4 linked regions of the Arabidopsis thaliana genome follow. The protein of the gene in region 2 interacts with the protein of the main gene of each other region in a pairwise test. Each region holds a gene or a part of one and is shown on either strand. Other genes may lie near its edges. The genes, in order: IRX1, CRK40, CNGC9 and AT1G04360.

Region 1 (6,453 bases), 8.0 Mb from region 2:
GGACTGGTTAACGCGGGATATTACCTACAAGAGAAATATGGCGGTGGTGTTTTCCCGATACTATACATTTGGGGGATTGGTTTATTAGCTGCTGGACAAAGCAGTACTATAACCGGGACTTATGCTGGACAGTTTATAATGGAAGGGTTCTTAGATCTTCAAATGGAACAATGGCTATCAGCTTTTATAACGAGAAGCTTTGCTATTGTACCTACTATGTTTGTTGCTATTATGTTTAACACATCCGAGGGCTCGCTCGATGTTTTAAACGAATGGCTTAACATTCTTCAGTCGATGCAGATTCCTTTCGCGGTTATTCCTCTTTTGACTATGGTTTCTAATGAACATATCATGGGTGTCTTCAAGATCGGACCTTCGCTTGAGGTAAAGCAATTTTTTGTCATCTCTCTTTATTGTTATGTGCTTTTGATTGTAACGAGTTAGTTGGGATCTTTGCAGAAGCTAGCTTGGACTGTGGCGGTGTTTGTGATGATGATAAATGGGTATCTTCTTCTAGATTTCTTCATGGCTGAAGTGGAAGGGTTTCTTGTTGGGTTTCTGGTTTTTGGTGGAGTAGTTGGATACATCAGTTTCATCATCTATCTTGTTTCTTATAGAAGCTCACAATCTTCTTCCTGGTCGAGTTTAGAAATGTCAGAGAGAGTTGTTTCCACAGAGACGTAGAAACCCATAACTTTAGTATTCTTCAACCCTTACAACTTATCTGAGCAAAATCAGAAGGTCGAATTTGATGGATGGTTTTGCTGTATTTGGTCAACGGTTTTATTTGAGACAGTAGACCAGAGGAAACTCAGATGTGATGATGCAAAGACTGAATTGGTTAAGAGTGTAGATTGATTTGTTCTAACATTGCAAATGTAGAGTAGAATTATGCAAAAAACGTTAATGAACAGAGAAGTGATTAAGCAGAAACAAAATTAGAGAAGTGATATTATATCTCAAAATTTATTTTTGGTACAGCTAAAGCTCAAATTGTTATAGAGATTAGAGATATTAAACCAAATGACGAGTGTTTTCTTTAGTAGTAAACGGTGAAAATTCTCTTCTGACAAAGACAATTAAAATTTTAGGTTTAAGACTTTAATATTTGTCACAAATTGTCATTTACCTAAATAAAAAAAAAACTAAATATTTTTTTTAGATACATATGTGTCTTATAATTTTAACTATAAATTTTAATTTTATGTCTTAAATAATTGTTTACACTATAAATTTAAATATTTTAATGCTAAAATTAATTTGATTCAAAAAAGTGATTTTAATTCTTATTTTTCTTATAGAAAGTTGGTGATTGAAAAGATTTACTTAAAAATTATAACAACTTCAATGGTGAATAACCCGACCCGAATAAACCGGATATAACAACTTCAATGTTAGCTTGATATAGAAAGTACGGTGACGCTTAGGAGGCAAGCAAGCTAGTATCTGCCGCTGGTTAGAGACAAAGAACATGTGTCACTCCTCTCAACTAAAACTTTCCTTCACTTTCCCGCAAAATCATTTCAAAAAAGCTCCAAATTTAGCTTACCCATCAGCTTTCTCAGAAAACCAGTGAAAGAAACTTCTCAACTTCCGATTTTTCACAATCCACCAAACTTTTTTTAATAACTTTTTTTCCTCTTATTACAAAACCTCCACTCTCATGGCTTCTCAAACTTGTTATCCATCCAAATCTCAATCCCTAATTAGGGTTCATTTCTCTGTTTCTCCAAACAGGGGAATTCGAAGATGATGGAGTCTAGGTCTCCCATCTGCAACACTTGTGGTGAAGAGATTGGTGTAAAATCAAACGGAGAGTTCTTTGTGGCTTGTCATGAGTGTAGTTTCCCGATCTGCAAAGCTTGTCTTGAGTATGAATTCAAAGAAGGTCGAAGAATTTGCTTGCGTTGCGGCAATCCTTACGATGGTACAATTATAAATTTACAAACTTTATTCGAAAGTTTGATTTTTTGGTTAAAGAGTATTTATAACTTGTTTTGTTTTGTTTTGCTTTCATAGAGAATGTGTTTGATGATGTTGAGACAAAGACATCTAAAACTCAATCCATTGTTCCAACACAGACCAATAACACTTCTCAGGTTTGTGTGCTTAGCTAAGATTAGTTGCTTTTATGTCTTAATTAGATTTTACAAATTTGAGAACATTATCTTGACTTTTTCAGGATTCAGGGATTCATGCTAGACATATAAGTACAGTCTCAACAATAGACAGTGGTAAGAACTAAGAAACAAAGCCAAAATCTTTGTATACATTTGGTGAGGTTATTAATAGTTTAACTAACTTGGGGATTGTTGTTTCTTCCTGAAGAACTGAATGATGAATATGGCAATCCAATTTGGAAGAACAGAGTGGAGAGCTGGAAAGACAAGAAAGACAAGAAGAGCAAGAAGAAGAAGAAAGATCCAAAAGCAACAAAAGCTGAACAACATGAGGCTCAGATTCCTACCCAACAGCACATGGAAGATACGCCACCGTAAGCACATCCTCGTACTAATCTAATAACATTCACCAAAAAGTTTGAGACGTTGATTTGGTCTCTGCCGTTTGTATTCTCAGGAACACAGAATCTGGTGCTACAGATGTGCTTTCGGTTGTGATTCCTATCCCAAGGACAAAAATCACTTCATATAGGATTGTCATCATCATGCGGTTGATCATCTTGGCTCTGTTTTTTAACTACCGTATCACGCATCCTGTCGATAGCGCTTACGGTTTATGGCTAACATCTGTGATATGTGAGATTTGGTTTGCTGTTTCTTGGGTGTTGGATCAGTTCCCTAAATGGTCTCCTATTAACCGAGAAACTTACATCGACCGGTTATCCGCAAGGTTACAAATGTTTTATAACCGTTATATGCTTAATCTGCGCAGTTACTACCAATCTTTAAGTTTTATGAAACCATTTATCAAAACTATGCAGATTCGAAAGAGAAGGCGAGCAATCACAGCTTGCAGCTGTAGATTTCTTTGTTAGTACGGTAGATCCATTAAAGGAGCCACCTTTGATAACTGCAAACACGGTTCTTTCGATCCTCGCGCTTGATTATCCGGTGGATAAAGTCTCTTGCTATGTATCTGATGATGGTGCTGCAATGCTTTCGTTTGAGTCTTTGGTTGAGACAGCAGATTTTGCTAGGAAATGGGTACCTTTCTGCAAAAAGTACTCCATCGAGCCACGAGCTCCCGAGTTTTACTTCTCGCTTAAAATCGATTACTTGAGGGATAAAGTTCAACCTTCTTTTGTGAAAGAACGTAGAGCCATGAAAGTAAGTAAGCAAGGGCTTTAAAACCTTAAATTAATCTCATATAGCGTTAACCGATGATTGAATCGAAAACTTAATGTCTAATTTCTCTTCTTGTAGAGAGATTATGAAGAGTTTAAAATAAGAATGAATGCTTTAGTCGCCAAGGCTCAAAAGACACCAGAAGAAGGATGGACAATGCAAGATGGAACATCTTGGCCCGGGAACAACACTCGTGACCATCCCGGGATGATTCAGGTTTGCTAGCTAAAACATTTGACCTGAAATGCTCTGTCTTTTCTTGTTAGTCACGTAATTTCTTTCTTGCAGGTTTTTCTTGGATATAGCGGTGCTCGCGACATTGAAGGAAATGAACTTCCAAGATTAGTTTACGTCTCTAGAGAGAAGAGACCTGGTTATCAGCATCACAAAAAGGCCGGGGCAGAGAACGCATTGGTAAACTTCAAAACTTTTTCTTTTATCGTTCAATTTAGCACAATCCTAATGATTTTGTTCTTTGTAGGTGAGGGTGTCTGCGGTTTTAACGAATGCTCCATTCATTCTTAACCTTGATTGTGATCACTACGTCAACAATAGCAAAGCCGTGCGTGAAGCAATGTGCTTTTTAATGGATCCTGTTGTTGGTCAAGACGTTTGCTTTGTTCAGTTCCCACAGAGATTTGATGGAATCGACAAGAGTGATCGATATGCTAACCGCAACATTGTTTTCTTCGATGTAAGTTATCTCATACTCATAACTTCAAGCAAAGTTTTGAGATTTCTTATGATATTTTGTGGTTTTGATATGATGTTTTCAGGTTAATATGAGAGGGCTTGATGGGATTCAAGGTCCAGTTTATGTTGGTACAGGTACTGTCTTTAGAAGACAAGCACTTTACGGATACAGTCCACCTTCAAAACCGAGGATTTTACCGCAATCTTCATCATCGTCGTGTTGCTGTCTAACCAAGAAGAAACAACCTCAAGATCCTTCCGAGATTTACAAAGATGCAAAGCGAGAAGAACTTGATGCTGCAATCTTTAATCTTGGGGACCTAGACAACTACGATGAGTACGACAGATCGATGCTGATTTCACAAACAAGCTTTGAGAAAACGTTTGGTCTCTCTACGGTTTTCATCGAGTCTACTCTTATGGAGAATGGCGGTGTTCCCGACTCTGTAAACCCGTCAACGCTCATCAAAGAAGCTATTCATGTCATTAGCTGTGGATACGAAGAGAAAACTGAATGGGGAAAAGAAGTAAGTGCCTTGTTTCTTCATATCAAAGTTCTCTTGTGAGTACATTTTATAACCTTTCGTTCTGTTTTCGCAGATAGGATGGATTTACGGGTCGATCACCGAAGACATTTTGACGGGTTTCAAGATGCATTGTCGTGGATGGAGGTCGATTTACTGTATGCCATTAAGACCAGCATTTAAAGGATCTGCTCCAATCAATCTATCAGATAGGCTTCACCAGGTTCTACGTTGGGCTCTTGGCTCGGTTGAGATCTTCCTTAGCCGACATTGTCCTTTGTGGTACGGTTGCAGCGGAGGCCGCCTCAAGTTGCTCCAGAGATTAGCTTATATAAACACTATTGTCTACCCATTCACTTCTTTGCCTCTTGTTGCTTACTGTACTCTTCCAGCTATTTGCCTTCTTACCGGCAAATTTATCATCCCAACGGTAACTTTTTCATACTACTAATTACTTTGGTTAGGTTACAGCAAGATTGAGAATTTGATCTTTGTTTCTGTTCTTTATTGCAGCTATCAAACCTAGCAAGCATGCTGTTTCTAGGTCTCTTTATATCAATCATCTTAACGAGTGTCCTCGAGCTTCGATGGAGCGGAGTCAGTATCGAAGACTTATGGAGAAACGAACAGTTTTGGGTTATTGGAGGTGTCTCAGCTCATCTCTTTGCCGTTTTCCAAGGATTCCTCAAAATGCTCGCTGGTCTCGACACAAATTTCACAGTCACATCGAAAACCGCAGATGATTTAGAATTCGGTGAGCTTTACATTGTCAAATGGACAACTCTCTTGATCCCTCCGACGTCACTTCTTATAATCAACTTGGTCGGAGTTGTTGCTGGATTCTCTGACGCTCTTAACAAAGGTTATGAAGCTTGGGGACCTTTGTTTGGGAAGGTATTTTTCGCCTTTTGGGTGATTCTTCATCTTTATCCATTCCTCAAAGGTCTTATGGGAAGACAAAACAGAACACCTACTATTGTTATTCTCTGGTCTATCTTGCTTGCTTCTGTGTTTTCACTTGTTTGGGTTCGTATCAATCCTTTCGTCTCCAAAACCGATACGACTTCCCTTTCTCTGAACTGTCTTTTGATCGATTGCTAAGAGAAGATACGTTATGTTTGTATTTTGAAAGATTGATCATATGTGTTTTGGTTGTTTTATAAATTTTCATATGGTTGCTTGAGCCACAAGTTAAGTAATGTTCTTATTTTAGCAACAAGTCTTGGCGGGTTCCGCAAGTTAGGTTTCTATTGTTTCAACATCAACATGTTTTTAAAAAGCAAAATATTTTATATCTTTTCAAATTATTGAAGTTTGGTGGAATCTGTCTCGTATAAAAAGACAAACAAAAAACAACAAAACTGAAACAAGCAGAATAAAAAATACAAATCAGAGTCCATGAACAAAAGCATCAATGTCAGGCTGAGGAATGTCATCAAGCAAAGAGTCAATGCTACATCCTTCCTCAAGCAGCTTCTCATTGAATCCAAAATCATCAGTAAACACACATTCAGGCACAATCCTGTCTTGTCCATACACCTCCTCTTCCTTCTTCTTCTCCTCAACCGCAACAACAACATCCTTCTTCTTGTTATTACTCTCTCTGCGTCTACCTCTTGCAGGAACAGAAGAAGCCATCAAAGCTCCCATATTCAAGCTCTTGATGTAATCCTGCAACAGAGAAGGTCTTGGATACTTAGATCTACATTTTCTTTTAGAGAATTGTCTTCTTTTTGTTGCGTTCCAATGGTTCTTGATCGAGTTCTCTGTTCTTCCCGGGAGTCTTTTCGCAATCTCTGCCCATTTGTTTCCAATCTCTTTGTGAAATTCTATCAACACTCTGTCCTCTTCTTCACTCCATGTTTCTTTCTGCAACAATCTTTATCTTTTAGGTTCCATAATCATCAATACATGATCTTATAGCTACTAGT
Region 2 (5,573 bases):
TTCCCATCTCAATCAACTTGGTCATGAAAGTGTTGATATTGTCACTTTCTTTCATCTTCAAATTCTCATACTCCCTTCTAAGAGATTGAAGCTTTATCATCCTGACTTGTGGTGATCCTTGAAATTCCAATACCAAGGCTTTCCAAGTGCGCTTGATGCAGGGGCGATTCTCGGAAATATGGAATCTGAGACGGCAGTTTGAAGAATTTGCAAAGCGGTTAGATCCTTTAAGGATGCTGCTTCACATCGTGTCTTTTGTTGCACTGCTTCAGGGCTATGATCTCCTTCTGCGGGTGGTTTTGGAACTCCTTCGTCAACAATTTCCCACAGTTTCTTTGTCTGGAAAATTGTTTTCATCTTGATGCGCCAAAAACCATAATTCTCTTTGTTGAAGATTGGAGTCACAATGTGTGACACCATCTCCATAACTCTCTCGTGTTTATTAAACTCTTTACTTGAAATGTTTGGCCCTTGAATCAGTAGGGCTCTGATACCATGTTGGAAATTGAAGCCTCTTGTTACAAAGAAAAAACAAGTGTTTACTTGTTGTTCTGTTTCTTATGAGATACACAAAGCAAAAGAGAAACTGACTTTTATTGAATGGAGAACTTGTTCGTTTCATCACGATACAAAAAGTTTAAATAGAAAACAAATAGACACAATAAGTAAAGAGTTGTGTCTCTTTCTCTCTAAGATAAACGACACAACCTAATCTAAAAGTCACGACTCTAACAAACACCTTTTAATACAACATAATTATAACTTATAGACCAAACTCAATTATAAACTAACAGATTTGATGCAGCTTCCTAATTTCCAACAGCTCCATGATGTTTATCAGCTCGTTGTTGTCAGAATCTGCATCTTCATAAATTTATAATAAATATAAATATATAATGTATAACTGTATGTAGAACCGTATATTGTGGATCCGTGAATTGGTGGAAGAGTTGCTATTGCGGAATCGTCCAAGAAGCTATTCATAAAATCAATCACGAAAGAAAAAGAATTTGTTTTGCTATTATCTCTATATTGTGGGTAGCCATTTTTGGAATCTTTGAAAAATCAACCAATACGCATTTTCTCTCAGTTTGGAAGTTAACAAAGACGCGTTTTTTCAAGGTTTTGTGGGGACTGGGGACCAAAAGTTCTTAATATGGGTTAACGTCTCACAGGTAATACCAAACATTTCATTTATTTGTGTTTTTCTATCACTATCTTTTCCACATTTTAGTATTTTACTATTACATATAATTTTTGACTAAGAAGTTGATTGTGAATGAGTCTGTACATCTTCCTAGAAATGATTATAAGTATATTATTTAATTTGTTACTCCCTCTATTGTCATTTATTTGTAGTTTAAGTTTCAAGGTTTTGGCACAAATGAAATTATTTCGTTTTTTATTATTATCTTTTAATATAGTTAATTATCTATTTAAAAACAATTCAACAAATTGAAAAAAAAGTTTTGTAGAATTTCTAAGAGTCAAAAATAATAAAATTTCCATTAAAAATTGAAAACAACAAATAAAATGAAACTATTTGTTTTTGCTTAAACAACACTTCTTAAAAAACAGAGGAACCATTGTAAAATAGATTTTTCCCAACACAAATCGAAAACGTAACTTATATAATCTCTATATTTTTAGTAATTCAGCGACTTATCATTTCATTGTTAACTATTTTTCACTGACATGTTTCTCGTTATATAAAAGTCTCTGTTTATGTCAATGGTCGTATGTGAATGGTTCATGTATTATGCAAAACTGTTTATGATAATATTGCCGGGGAAAAAAAACTGCCATGTTTCATTTTTTTACTAGTTATTACATTTGATTATTATCAACCAACTTACCATTGAAAGATAACTTGTGATTATTATTTACAGTAACGAAGAAAATTAGGCCATATTTTGTTTTCTTTTTGGAACCTTTCAAATGTCAAAGCTGGTAGGCTATATAAATATAAACAAAGCTCAAAAATTTATTACTATACTTAACAGTAACGAAGTAGACTACTTCAAGTAGTACATCAAAAAAAAAAAAACCAAAGAAGTTGTTATCTTTAACAAACAAAAATGGGAAAATGCTCTGCTTTGATGATATTCCTCTCTTCTTCTCTTCTACTTGTCCTTCAAACACTCCATGTTGTTAACGCGGTCAAATGTTTCGGAAACTCCTTCAACGGTAACAGCAGCACCTTCGCTCAGAATCGCCAGAAACTGTTCCCTACTCTTGCTGACAAAGTCATCATCAACGACGGATTCTACAACGCTTCACTCGGCCAAGATCCCGACAAAGTTTACGCTCTTGTCAGCTGCGCAAGAGGCTACGACCAAGACGCTTGTTACAATTGTGTCCAATCATTGACTCAGAACACACTAACAGATTGTCGAAGCCGTAGGGATTCGTTCATATGGGGAGGCAATGACGATGTAACTTGTCTTGTACGTTCCTCAAACCAGTCTACTTTTGGGAGCGTCCAGCTTAAACCTCCTGTTGTATGGCCAAGTCCAGATACTATAGAGTCATCTAAAAACATAACCCTTTTCAAACAACAGTGGGAAGAAATGGTTAATCGGACCCTAGAGGCTGCCACGAAAGCTGAAGGTTCCTCGGTGCTTAAGTACTATAAGGCCGAAAAAGCGGGTTTCACCGAGTTTCCAGATGTTTACATGCTGATGCAATGCACACCCGACTTAAGTTCACGAGATTGCAAGCAATGTTTGGGAGATTGCGTGATGTACTTTAGAAAAGACTATATGGGAAGAAAAGGAGGCATGGCTAGTCTTCCAAGCTGTTATTTCAGGTGGGATCTATATTCTTTCCATAATGCTTTTGATAATGTAACAAGAGTTCCTGCGCCTCCTCCTCGACCTCATGCTCAGGAAAAGGAGAGCTGCATAACAGTAAAAAAAGGTAACACAAATTATTTTAGCTTTCATTTAGAGCTCAAAAGAGCCAATTTTGAGGAATATTGTTTACATAAGTGACATGAAGCGGTTTGGTATGAACTTTTCGTGCCAAATTGTTATTATGATTAAGAGGTTAATTCTTAGACAAAGGGTTGGTAATTTGCAGGGAAAAGCATTGGGTATGGCGGAATTATCGCAATAGTTGTGGTGTTTACTTTCATTAATCTTTTGGTGTTTATTGGCTTTATCAAAGTCTATGCACGGAGGGGAAAATTAAATAATGGTAAGTGTAACTTGCTTCAATCAAGCTTATGATGTAGAGAGTAAGGCTTATGGATTTTTTGTTTTTTTAGTTGGTAGTGCAGAATACTCTGATTCTGATGGTCAATTCATGTTACGGTTTGATCTTGGTATGATCGTAATGGCAACTGATGACTTCTCCTCTGAAAATACGCTTGGCCAAGGTGGATTTGGTACGGTTTATAAGGTAATAATAAACTTTTTCCTTAATGATGAGTTCTTGATCAACATTGGTCTTTTATGAGTAAATAGATATCTTGAGAATGGGTTTCAGGGGACATTCCCAAACGGGCAAGAGGTAGCGGTCAAGAGACTAACAAAAGGATCAGGACAAGGAGATATGGAGTTTAAGAATGAGGTTTCACTCTTGACAAGACTCCAACATAAGAATCTTGTTAAGCTTCTTGGGTTCTGTAATGAGGGAGATGAAGAGATTCTTGTCTACGAGTTTGTCCCCAACTCAAGTCTTGATCACTTTATCTTTGGTGAGCCTTCGAAAGACAGCTGCCAAGTTGGATAGATTTAGAACTTTTAGCAAACTAAATGTTTCTTTGAACTCTGCAGATGAAGATAAGCGTTCTCTTCTTACATGGGAGGTGAGGTTCAGAATTATAGAAGGCATTGCTCGAGGTCTTCTCTATCTCCATGAAGATTCTCAGCTGAAGATTATTCACAGAGACTTGAAGGCAAGCAACATACTTTTAGACGCTGAGATGAACCCTAAAGTTGCGGATTTCGGGACTGCGAGGTTGTTCGACTCCGACGAGACTCGAGCTGAAACAAAAAGAATAGCTGGAACCCGGTAAGAAATATATCAATCAAATTTGATGACACATTTCAAATGCTCTGTTTTGAAAACAGAGTCCATGAATTAATGCTATTGGTTTGCATATATGCAGTGGATATATGGCTCCTGAGTACTTGAATCATGGACAAATCTCAGCTAAATCTGACGTTTATAGCTTCGGTGTTATGCTTCTAGAGATGATTAGTGGTGAAAGAAACAATAGCTTCGAAGGAGAAGGACTTGCAGCTTTTGTAAGCTTCTTCACAATTTTTTTTTTTTTTGAATAGCTGGAGGTTTTGGGCCGAAGCCCGTAATCCCCCCAGGACCGAAACCACAGCATGTAATATTAGTTTCGTTCCAAGCGTTACTCGAACCGGCGACCTTAAGCTTCTTCACATATCAGTTTTTGTTTTTCTATCTTCAAAACTTTATCCCGAAAGTAAGAACTTATGTTTTTGGTGTAGGCATGGAAAAGATGGGTTGAAGGAAAGCCTGAGATTATAATTGATCCGTTCTTAATAGAGAATCCAAGAAATGAGATCATCAAGTTGATCCAAATTGGTTTGTTGTGTGTTCAAGAGAATTCAACAAAGAGACCAACCATGAGCTCTGTAATAATTTGGCTTGGCAGTGAGACTATCATCATTCCTTTACCTAAAGCTCCTGCTTTCACTTGGATTCGATCCCAATCTGAAAGTGGTGCAATGTCATTGAGCGACGATGTCTTCACGGAGTTGAGTTGTCGTTGAGATATACATCAGTTAATCAAAATATTTGAATATTTTTTAATATCAAACTCCATTAATCTGCAAATTTGTTAGTAAATCGCATAATCTTGGATTCGAACTTTAGACTTCTTTGGTGTAAAGGCTTTATTAACTCTTGATTAACCTTTGGGCCAAGAGGGTTTTCGCGTCCAGTTTTGTTTTAAAACTATTTTCACCAATATTAATTAATATTATAGAGGTAAGAAATAAATAAACTTAAAATGTTGCACATATAAATATGATTTAATAATAACTGAAATATCTTATAAATCTCAATTAGGAGAAGATAATAAATCTTTTCTTAACAATCAGATAAAATATCAGTTCTTAATTTCAGTTACTTTATTCTGATATATCTTACTCTAAATAGAATTATAAAGAAGTTTTTTTCTTTCTTTTTGTTAAAACAAATATTATAATATAACAATTGTTTTTAAGTATTTTCACATTAATTCCCAAAACAAAATATATCACGTACCTAATATAGTTCTCCCTAATATATTTCTTCTAAATGACCAATAAATTTCAAAGTTGATTTTAATTTTACATGACCAATAGAGTGAGGATAAAAAATCTTTTCTGACCAATCAAATTCCTGATTTTAGCCACTCTACTTGATTCTTATCTTAGTATGAACATATATATAAGGAAGTTTTTTTTTTGTTGTTGAAAATATAATATAAGGAATTTTCCTTGATATTTTCAGAATTCCCAAATAAGAGTATATCTATGTACCTAATATAGTTCTTTCTAATATATTTTTCTAAATATATACCTAAACAAAATCTAGTGCAGCCGAATATT
Region 3 (5,821 bases), about 13 Mb from region 2:
AGTAGATCATCTGGTTATATTTATGCAGAATTGAAGGCTCTTATTCTAGTTGGAGGATTCGGAACCAGATTGAGGCCACTTACCTTGAGCATGCCTAAACCACTTGTTGATTTTGGAAACAAACCCATGATTTTGCATCAGGTAGGTTAGCTTCTTCTTCTTCTTTTGTATTTGCTCAAGTTTTCACAGTTTCTTTTGTTCTCATTATGATGCATTCGCAGATTGAAGCTCTAAAAGGTGCTGGAGTGACTGAAGTTGTATTAGCTATCAATCACCAACAACCAGAGGTACATACATTCATTGTCCTTAATAACGATACGATAACAATTGAAATTCTTCCGTGTCATCCTCCTTCTCCTTGTGTGTTTGGTATTACTCAGGTCATGTTGAACTTTGTGAAAGAATATGAGAAGAAGCTAGAGATTAAGATTACATTTTCCCAAGAAACTGAACCGCTTGGAACAGCAGGGCCTCTCGCGCTGGCTCGGGATAAGCTGGTCGATGAATCAGGCCAACCCTTTTTTGTACTAAACAGCGATGTTATCTGTGAATACCCATTGCTTGAGATGATCGAGTTTCACAAGACTAACCGTGCTGAAGCATCAATCATGGTGACCGAGGTAGTCAAACAGGAGCATTTTCTGCATTTTGTGAAGTTTATCTTTCATCTGTTAATAGCATTTTCTGATATTAACAGGTTGATGATCCTTCTAAGTATGGTGTGGTGGTTACAGAGGAAGGTACAGCGAGAGTTGAAAGTTTTGTCGAGAAACCGAAACATTTTGTGGGGAACAAGATCAACGCTGGGATATACCTCTTGAGCCCATCTGTTCTTGACAGGATTGAGCTGAGAAGGACTTCGATAGAGAAAGAGATATTCCCTAAGATAGCTTCAGAGAAGAAGCTTTACGCGATGGTACTACCTGGTTTTTGGATGGACATTGGTCAACCGAAAGATTACATAACCGGGCAAAGAATGTACCTTAACTCTCTAAGAGAGAAAACTCCGCAAGAACTGGCCACAGGGGATAACATAATCGGGAATGTTCTCGTGCACGAAAGTGCGGTTATAGGAGAAGGTTGCTTGATAGGACCTGATGTGGTGATTGGTCCGGGATGTGTGATTGATTCAGGTGTAAGATTGTTTGGTTGTACTGTAATGCGCGGTGTGTGGATCAAGGAACATGCGTGTATCTCTAATAGTATCGTGGGATGGGATTCAACCGTTGGAAGGTGGGCTCGAGTTTTTAATATAACGGTTCTTGGCAAAGATGTTAACGTCGCCGATGCAGAGGTTTACAACAGTGGGGTTGTTATCGAAGAGCAAGGTCTGTGAAACCAGAGCCTAGACCTAGATTAGTTAGTTCCACTGTTTCCAGAGTCTTATGAACCGCAATATTCTTACAATTTAAAACAGATACAAACTCTATGGTAAACCATATCATAAACCGGTTAAAAATGGTATTCGACACCAATAGAGAAAAACGTTTTTCAGATCCATCCCTAAGCAAGTTGTGTATATTTCTTTCGTAAATGTTTTGAGACATTCTTATAAGGGACATATAAATTATTGTAGATAAAGCCTATGTTTCTTAAACACGAAACTGTGATTTATTAATAGACTATAGTTTGGTGTATGTAATTAACGTTGAGAAAAATGAAAGACGTGACGGCAGAGAGAGAGAGAGTGGACCCGACCCGGACGGCACGGAGACACTTTCAGTTTCTTCTTCTTCTCTTCTGTCTTTGTGATATTTCTCTCAAAATCAATATTTTTTCATCTGTGAAACGACTTCGTCTCCTCCCACTCCATTGTCACTTTCTTCTTCACCCTTCTCTCGTCTCCGTCTGATTTGGCGTGTAACTTCTTTCTACCGTAATTCTCCTTCGTCTTCTTCTCTGGTATATCTCTTGCATTCCCTCCTAATTTCTTAGCCAATTACTGTTTGGAATGATCTTCATTTTGTACTTCCCATTGCTTGATTTTGGTTGACACCTTTCTCGTTTAAGATCGTCTCGTTTTCATGCTGAAAACTCAAGTATTTAGTTTTTTCGTTTGTACCCTTTTGTTGATGTTTTGGTTTGGGGAGAAAATGTGGTTCCTTTCAAGTTTTTTCCGTCAATTTGAGTTCTCAGGTCAACGAAAATGGATGGATGTTCTTAACCCATTAACCAAGTTTGATTTTTAGAGAGATTCTGTAAACAAACAATAACATTTTTTGTGCTTGAATTATTTTTATATTTATTGCAAGTTTAGGATTTTGCTGCTTGAAATGATTTTGATCATAAATGTTTATTACATTTTCTTATGTGTGTAAAAACAGGTTTGGGATTCATGAGTTGAGTCACAAGGAAAAAGCATGTTAGACTGTGGCAAAAAAGCAGTCAAATCACAAGTAATCAGTGGCCGTCTCGAGAAGTTTGTAAGGTAACTCTCATTATTGTATATAGTTGATCGAAATTTAACATGATGATATCATTCTAGCAGATTCAGATATTGTTTAGCCAAAAAGGACATTCCTTTACTTCAGGTTTGAAACTAAATGGATATCTTTAGTTTATTTTGTTCTTCACAGGTTGGATAGTATGGATTCTAGGTACTCGCAGACTTCTGATACTGGTCTAAACAGATGCACTCTCAATTTACAAGGACCAACACGTGGTGGTGGTGCTCAGGGAAACAATGTATCTTCTGGTTCCTTTAAGAAAGGGTTTAGAAAAGGTTCTAAAGGTCTTTGGTCTATAGGAAGATCAATTGGTTTAGGGGTTTCACGAGCAGTTTTTCCTGAAGATCTTAAAGTATCAGAGAAGAAGATTTTTGATCCACAGGACAAGTTTCTTTTGCTCTGTAACAAACTGTTTGTTACTTCTTGCATTCTCGCTGTGTCTGTGGATCCGCTCTTCTTGTATCTTCCGTTTGTTAAGGATAATGAGAAATGTATCGGTATAGACCGGAAGTTGGCTATTATAGCAACAACGCTGCGGACAGTAATTGATGCGTTTTATCTTTTTCACATGGCTCTTCGGTTTAGAACAGCTTTTGTCGCCCCTTCTTCTCGGGTTTTTGGTCGAGGCGAACTTGTGATTGACCCTGCACAGATAGCAAAACGTTATTTGCAGCAGTATTTCATCATTGACTTTCTCTCTGTGCTTCCACTTCCACAGGTAATAACAGAAATGCCTCTCCCAGTGTTCTCTTATCTTCCATTGTTTCTTTGTTCTCTAAATTTTTATGACTAGTTTATGTTATTCTTTGGATTTTTCAGATTGTAGTTTGGAGATTTCTTTACATCTCTAAAGGTGCAAGTGTGCTAGCAACAAAGCGGGCATTGCGATCTATCATTTTAGTTCAATATATTCCAAGATTCATTCGGTTGTATCCTTTGAGCTCAGAGTTAAAGAGAACAGCTGGTGTTTTTGCTGAAACTGCTTGGGCTGGTGCAGCTTATTACTTGCTACTCTACATGCTCGCAAGCCATGTCAGTACATACTATCTTTGGTAGCTTTCCTCTTATATTCTCAAAAGATCCATTCATCACTCTCTCTTTTTTCCCTTATGTTTTTATCAGATTGTTGGGGCTATATGGTACTTATTGGCCTTGGAACGTTATAATGGATGCTGGACCAAGGTTTGCAGTAATAGCAGCTTGGACTGTCACAGAAACTTCCTGTTTTGTGGTAATGAAAAAATGGATGGTTATGCAGCTTGGACTACCATCAAAGATTCTGTTCTGCAATTAAATTGCCCAGTTAATACAACCGATAATCCTCCTTTTGATTTTGGGATCTACTTAAGAGCCTTGTCCTCTGGCATTGTCTCATCTAAGAGCTTTGTCTCTAAGTACTTCTTCTGTTTATGGTGGGGACTTCAGAATCTCAGGTACGTAATTCTAAAGAATCCGTCTTCTATAGTCATTATGAAAAGTCTCTGTTGCATTAGTAACTTTGTCGATGTCAAATGCAGCACTCTTGGTCAAGGGCTTGAAACCAGCACATACCCTGGAGAAGTTATATTCTCCATAGCACTTGCCATTGCTGGACTTCTTCTCTTTGCTCTTCTTATTGGAAACATGCAGACTTATCTTCAATCCCTTACAATCCGGCTTGAAGAAATGAGAGTGAAAAGACGTGATTCAGAACAGTGGATGCATCATCGAATGCTTCCACCGGAACTGCGAGAACGAGTCAGACGATATGACCAGTACAAATGGTTGGAGACACGCGGAGTTGATGAAGAGAATTTGGTTCAGAACCTCCCAAAGGATCTGAGAAGAGATATCAAACGCCATCTCTGTCTGGCTTTGGTTCGGAGGGTAAGTTGAATCTTACTTTAAAAGCCTTTTTCTAATCTTGATTCATAAATGAAACCATCTTGTTCTATTTTTCTTATGGAAAGGTTCCATTGTTTGAGAATATGGATGAGAGGCTGCTCGATGCAATCTGTGAGCGGTTGAAGCCGTGTCTGTACACAGAGAGCTCTTATTTGGTTCGGGAAGGCGACCCGGTTAACGAGATGCTCTTCATTATCCGTGGTCGGCTTGAGAGTGTGACCACCGATGGCGGAAGAAGCGGTTTCTTCAACCGCAGTTTGCTTAAAGAAGGAGATTTCTGTGGGGAAGAGCTTTTGACATGGGCACTTGATCCCAAATCTGGTTCCAACCTACCATCCTCTACCAGAACCGCAAAGGCTCTAACTGAAGTAGAGGCTTTTGCTTTGATAGCAGATGAGCTCAAATTTGTGGCTAGCCAGTTCAGAAGACTACACAGCAGGCAAGTTCAACACACATTCAGATTCTACTCGCAACAATGGAGAACTTGGGCTGCTATCTTCATACAAGCCGCGTGGCGACGATACGTGAAGAAGAAGAAACTTGAGCAACTCAGGAAAGAAGAAGAAGAAGGAGAAGGATCAGTTACTAGCATCAGAGCGACGTTCCTGGCTTCAAAGTTTGCTGCAAATGCACTTCGTAAAGTTCACAAGAACCGTATTGAAGCAAAGTCTACTATAGAACTTGTGAAATATCAGAAGCCTTCAGAACCTGATTTCTCTGCTGATGATACTAGTTGACCAAATTTTACCAGAAAAGTGCTAATGTCTATGAACGCTTATAACTTGTATAACTCGGATTGAATTTTATTGTTTGATTTGTGTTGCTACATTAAGATAAAGAAAAAGGTGGTAACATAAAAGATTATTTGTGATTGTGATTTGTTTTATATGTGTTTCTTTCTGTTTCCTGAAGATAAAATATGAAAGATACTGCAGGTTTATTGAGAGATGACATAGTTTTTGATAAGTTCATACAGAGATAACATAGTCTCGGATCATCAACCTTTCAGGAAGTTTTTGCAGAGCTTCTGCCATAGAATCCTGTCTGGTTGCGCAGTCTCCATCGTACTCTTTGCCTTATCCGCAAACTCTTGCTGAAAAAAATCAATCACATTGCAATTCTTGATAAGGCTAACTACATTGAGAACAAGAACACTCCGAAATGTTTATCTAGCAAAAATAGAGATCATAGAGAAGGAGAACAAACCTCCATCAGCTTCATATTAAGGACTCGGTCCACAATCTCAAACAGAATCTCTTTGTTATACTCTGGATGCCCTTGAATACAGAAAAAATGATCTCCAATAGAGAACATCTCGACGTTACATACCTCAGAAGAAGCAAGTAGTGTAGCAGACTCAGGAAGTTCCAACACTTCATCCTGATGACATTTTATAATAGCTAAAGATGCTGGGACCTCAACGTCTCCAAAGTAACCTCGTAGTTTTTCATTGTCTTTCGCTATGGTTATGCTTCTAAGTCCCATATCTG
Region 4 (4,265 bases), on a different chromosome or scaffold from region 2:
GTGTGTGTGTGTATAATTTTAGTGAATGCTTTAAATTGGGAATAAAGGTTCAAACTTGATCAGCATCTTGTCAATCACAGTTTCTTGACTAAATTGAAACTAGCAATACCAAAAGAAAGAATTATATACAAGCTAAAGTATAATCAGTAACCAAACTAAACCAGTAGCAAATGTTATTGAACCAAACAAAACCGATCAAAGATTGCTTGTTGTAGCCAACCAAGGCAAACCTGCAACCATTCGGTACTTAGCTCGCAGAAAACTGATCAATACTATCTTCACGGTCTGAGGATCCACGCCGGTTTGATTGCAGAAACCGATTTTAGGATTTACTAATTCCTACGCCGGAAAGTCGTCATGCTCAGTTCCTCCTCTGTCCGATTTGATACGGACCTTAAAGGCGAGTCTGCGGCGACAAAGATTTATTTGGGCCTTTATGCTTTTATGCATTTGGGCCTTTATGTGTTTAAGCCGTTTGGGCCTCACAGGTTAGTTCTTTGTTTCCTTTTTTTTTTTTCCCTGCAGTTCTTTGTTGGGATTTGTTTTCGTGTAACTCGTTTAGTGAAAAACACTATTTATTCAATTTTCAGAAACTTCTGTAATTACTATTCAAGTAACTCATCTACTCCTATGACTTGTAAACATTGAACATGTGTATTTGACAAAGAAGAAACATGTACACTATATATCTTTCTCTCCTACTTCACCTTCCAAAATATTTTTTTTTAAATTCACCTCAGCAAATAACAAATACAAAAAATAATTTTTTTGAACAATGAATCAAGAAGAGGAAAATACAGAATTAGGGTTCCAAATAAACAGGTAATATTGAAGAACTTTTTGAAGTTCTACTACTTCCAAAAGAGAAGAAACATCTCTTCATGACTCTGCTATTACCACCACCACTACTGCTACTATCTTCACCGTCTCCAGCTACCGGAATCTGCCTGTTTCTCCGGCTGATTTCCTCTTGGACCGCCAAGTACAGCTGACGATCCACTGATGAATCCATCGAGATCGATCTTCTTATGGGCTGAATTTCACCAAAATGACCATCTTTGCCTCTAGTATCGATACATTCGTCTCCCATACTCGTCACTTTGTGAAATTTCCTTTCTTTCTTATACATTCCCCGATTACCAAACTTTATAGGCAAAGGACTCACCGATTTCGGGCTGTTTCCGGTCGAGACCTCATTCGAGGTAACCCTTTCTTGCTCCGTAAGGAAGTCTATGTTTCTCACGCTTTCTCTGTTGTTACCATTACTGGCCCCAAGCTCTATGACGACGAAGTCATCATCGCCTCCTAGAACCAGGCCGGGTTCGAGATTCCTGTTCCGAGAATGAGGGCTATTCTCCCGAGGAGAGCTCGGTGCAGAGATTAGGTCAAGAGTGAAACTTGCTTCGCAAGAAACGCTGGTTCTGCACAAGGGACAATTTGCGTTGCCCTGAAGCCAGATATCAATGCAATCAATGTGAAACACGTGGCAGCAGTTAGGAATAATCCTTAGCTTCTCGTCTTCTTGAAACTCGTTTAAACAAACAGAGCATTCTTGAGAGTTCTTACTCTGATCTTCTTCTCCTGCAACAACGTCTCTCTTCTTGAATTTGAAGACTGGGATAGCTCTAATGGCGGATTCGTCTAGTCCTCTGTTTACCTCATGAGGAGAGTAAATCATTAGAGGGTTTTGGTCACTGCTTCGTCTGCGGCGGCGAAAGATGTCGATTTGGTGCCAATTAAGACAGCATTTGATCACGAAGATGTAGTAACTTACAAGTAAGAACGCAGTGGCTAAGATTCCAATCACTGCGATGGCCAGAATGGGGAAATTGGTGCCGGAAGAGCTTGTTCGTGGGAATATAGGGCTTGTGAAGGTCGTGGATGGCGGCGGAGGCGGCGGCGGAAAAACAAGATTGTTAAAAGGGTTACGACGGTCTGTTAGATCCATTTGACTACAAAACAATCTAAATGAAAAGCTCCCTCTAGGATTTGAAGGGAAATATTCAGTAGAAAACGAAAAAAAAAATCAAGAAATCAAGTAATTATTTTCTATTGAATCTTTTTCCTCCCTACTCTGAAAGTGTTTATATATACGTAATTGCGTGTGTAAGAGAAAGATCAGAATAGTAGAAGAGATAGTGGTAGAGAAGAAAAACAGAGATGAAGTAATGAAATGAAAGAGAGAGAGAAAGAGTTGGTGAGATTTCAGAGGCTCTTTCTTATATGACTCATTTATTTATTTAGGTTATCATCTTACTTTGTTTTTTTCATCATTTAGGTTATCATTTTGCTGAATCTTTTAGGAGTTTTTTTTTTTTCCTCGATCTATGTGACTTGTTTGGTGTAAGAGTTTTCTTTTTATTTAAACATTTTTTGTAGTACTTATGGTGAGGAAAACAATAAGGAAAAGCTTACTTATATTCAAGTGGAGTAATTTAATTGACATTTTGAGTTGGATCTTCTGATGATAGTGAAAGTTTTGTTTGTCCATGTAGATTACGTTTATATTAAAGTCGTATGTAGTATAATGATGATATAATTGGATTCGCTAATACAGTATAGTGGTCATTTTTCAATAATTAGAATCTGTGAACTCCAGCTAACCACACTTGTCGGTTAATTAAATTGATATGTTTAGACAGACTATATATTTTGTGAAGGATCCTTTGAAAATGTAATAAATTTATCTTATTCAGAAGAATATCTGCAAGTAATTTGCTCTAAACTATGGTTCAAAATAGATAATATGATAGATATCGAAGATCTAGTTATGATTCGAAACGGTCCAAGAAAGATCCCCGAAAAAGACACAAGGTTAGTAAGACTTATCCTTTCTCTGTCTAATCCCGTCAAAATAGAAATAAAAGAAAAGTCAAATCCACCGCAGAAATAGTTCAAAGTTTTCGTTTTGGTTTTCATCTTTTATTAGTTTAAATATATAAGAAATGAGATGAGATGTTAAAAAAAACAAAAAACAAAACAACAACTGGTAAACAGAAATAAAAAATGATAAAGAAGGACAATGTTTCCATACTCACTAGTCTCTATCGTGTATTTATGTTTGACGAGTTTGGCTCACGACAGAATAGAACATAATAATAGGTCCGGTGAGAAGTATAGTTTCGTTTTATATTTGAACCTTTTTCTCTTATCAATAATGTATTGTCTTTAGCAAAACAATTGTGACTATTTTTGTTAGTTGTTTGAGTAATTTTGGGTGTACGTATTTGTGTATTATTTATCATCAAAGTGTATATAATCGAATTTTAGATGGACTTATGTTCTATAATACGTTAGAGGATGTATAAATACACATCTTTAACACAAAAAGATATATAAATACACATCGACTTATGGCGTTCTTAGTTTTGTCCTAACATAATAAAAACGAAAACGTGCCCACGACGGAGACAACCCTTAGTGGAAAGTAATTTGTTGTTTTTGCATTATTTTTATTTTTATCCAAACAACTAATATTCATAAGTGGCTCCCGATGAAAATCCGTAATCACGATTGTCAAAAGAAAAAAAAAATATAGTGGGAGAAATCACAAATCGACAAAATTAGATTCAGATCCATGTTTACAAATTTTTTTAATTTTTTTTTTTGTTGAAGTGTTGCATCAGTTAAACCTAAAAATCGACAAAATCACAATTGATGCTTCGGCAGTAATTACAAATAAACAAATACTACAACCAGGGCAGAGCAGCAGAAGAATATTTCATATAGAACTTAGTGACATTGTATTACTTAAATTTAAACTTTCTTAAATCACCATTAAAAACAGTTGATTCATGAAACTTGTGAAAAACAACTCATCAGTAGTTTTCACATGGACTGACAACAGCTGTGAAAGCTTTTGGTTCAATTTTGGGAGGATTTTACTAGAATCCAATTATTTGTACAATTCAAAACTAATATGAAAAAAGAAATCTAGGCATCTCATTAATATAGTAGAATTTTGTTTCCGCATTAACAATTGACTTTGACTATAGACTACTCTTTTAAGAATGAGGTCCTGAGGATCATCATCATGCGCCACGTCGACGACTCAGGTCAACACAGCAACGGTGAGATGGATCAGCATTCAGCAGCACGTGATGCTTGGTCGGTCACGTGTGTGCGTCAGACCATCATCGATACACGTCGCTCCGAGATATGAACTCGATCTCTATAATTTTCTTTGTTTTGTTTTGATGTTCGAGATTCTATTAGTTGCATTGATCAGGATCGTCTTCTAGCCCTACGCTACACTATAAAAACAT

Evidence for each region.
Region 1: the proteins of CRK40 (region 2) and IRX1 interact in a protein complementation assay, tested with the Arabidopsis thaliana proteins (one large-scale study listed by BioGRID).
Region 3: the proteins of CRK40 (region 2) and CNGC9 interact in a protein complementation assay, tested with the Arabidopsis thaliana proteins (one large-scale study listed by BioGRID).
Region 4: the proteins of CRK40 (region 2) and AT1G04360 interact in a protein complementation assay, tested with the Arabidopsis thaliana proteins (one large-scale study listed by BioGRID).

The regions. Positions count from the first base shown.
Region 1 is NC_003075.7:10,312,016-10,318,468, reverse strand, and holds IRX1 (cellulose synthase family protein), read left to right. Parts: upstream 1-1,582; 5' UTR 1,583-1,749; coding exon 1,750-1,927; intron 1,928-2,019; coding exon 2,020-2,099; intron 2,100-2,182; coding exon 2,183-2,234; intron 2,235-2,328; coding exon 2,329-2,494; intron 2,495-2,577; coding exon 2,578-2,850; intron 2,851-2,941; coding exon 2,942-3,287; intron 3,288-3,383; coding exon 3,384-3,521; intron 3,522-3,593; coding exon 3,594-3,719; intron 3,720-3,786; coding exon 3,787-3,999; intron 4,000-4,081; coding exon 4,082-4,525; intron 4,526-4,598; coding exon 4,599-4,952; intron 4,953-5,035; coding exon 5,036-5,623; 3' UTR 5,624-5,845; downstream 5,846-6,453. Other genes in the region: NRAMP5 (NRAMP metal ion transporter family protein), read left to right, coding at 1-384, 460-684; MYB98 (myb domain protein 98), read right to left, coding at 5,912-6,391.
Region 2 is NC_003075.7:2,287,967-2,293,539, forward strand, and holds CRK40 (cysteine-rich RLK (RECEPTOR-like protein kinase) 40), read left to right. Parts: upstream 1-1,935; 5' UTR 1,936-2,078; coding exon 2,079-2,919; intron 2,920-3,081; coding exon 3,082-3,198; intron 3,199-3,268; coding exon 3,269-3,402; intron 3,403-3,489; coding exon 3,490-3,700; intron 3,701-3,779; coding exon 3,780-4,017; intron 4,018-4,114; coding exon 4,115-4,253; coding exon of another isoform or gene 4,254-4,289; exon of another isoform or gene 4,290-4,466; coding exon 4,467-4,751; 3' UTR 4,752-4,984; downstream 4,985-5,573.
Region 3 is NC_003075.7:14,926,221-14,932,041, reverse strand, and holds CNGC9 (cyclic nucleotide gated channel 9), read left to right. Parts: upstream 1-1,686; 5' UTR 1,687-1,902; exon of another isoform or gene 1,903-2,039; intron 2,040-2,324; 5' UTR 2,325-2,360; coding exon 2,361-2,428; exon of another isoform or gene 2,429-2,576; coding exon 2,577-3,165; intron 3,166-3,266; coding exon 3,267-3,479; intron 3,480-3,569; coding exon 3,570-3,880; intron 3,881-3,964; coding exon 3,965-4,313; intron 4,314-4,396; coding exon 4,397-5,068; 3' UTR 5,069-5,208; downstream 5,209-5,821. Other genes in the region: AT4G30570 (Glucose-1-phosphate adenylyltransferase family protein), read left to right, coding at 91-141, 222-287, 381-620, 698-1,336; GGP3 (Class I glutamine amidotransferase-like superfamily protein), read right to left, coding at 5,329-5,424, 5,538-5,821. UniProt on the Arabidopsis thaliana protein: Putative cyclic nucleotide-gated ion channel.
Region 4 is NC_003070.9:1,166,705-1,170,969, forward strand, and holds AT1G04360 (RING/U-box superfamily protein), read right to left. Parts: upstream 2,331-4,265; 5' UTR 1,949-2,330; coding exon 803-1,948; 3' UTR 584-802; downstream 1-583.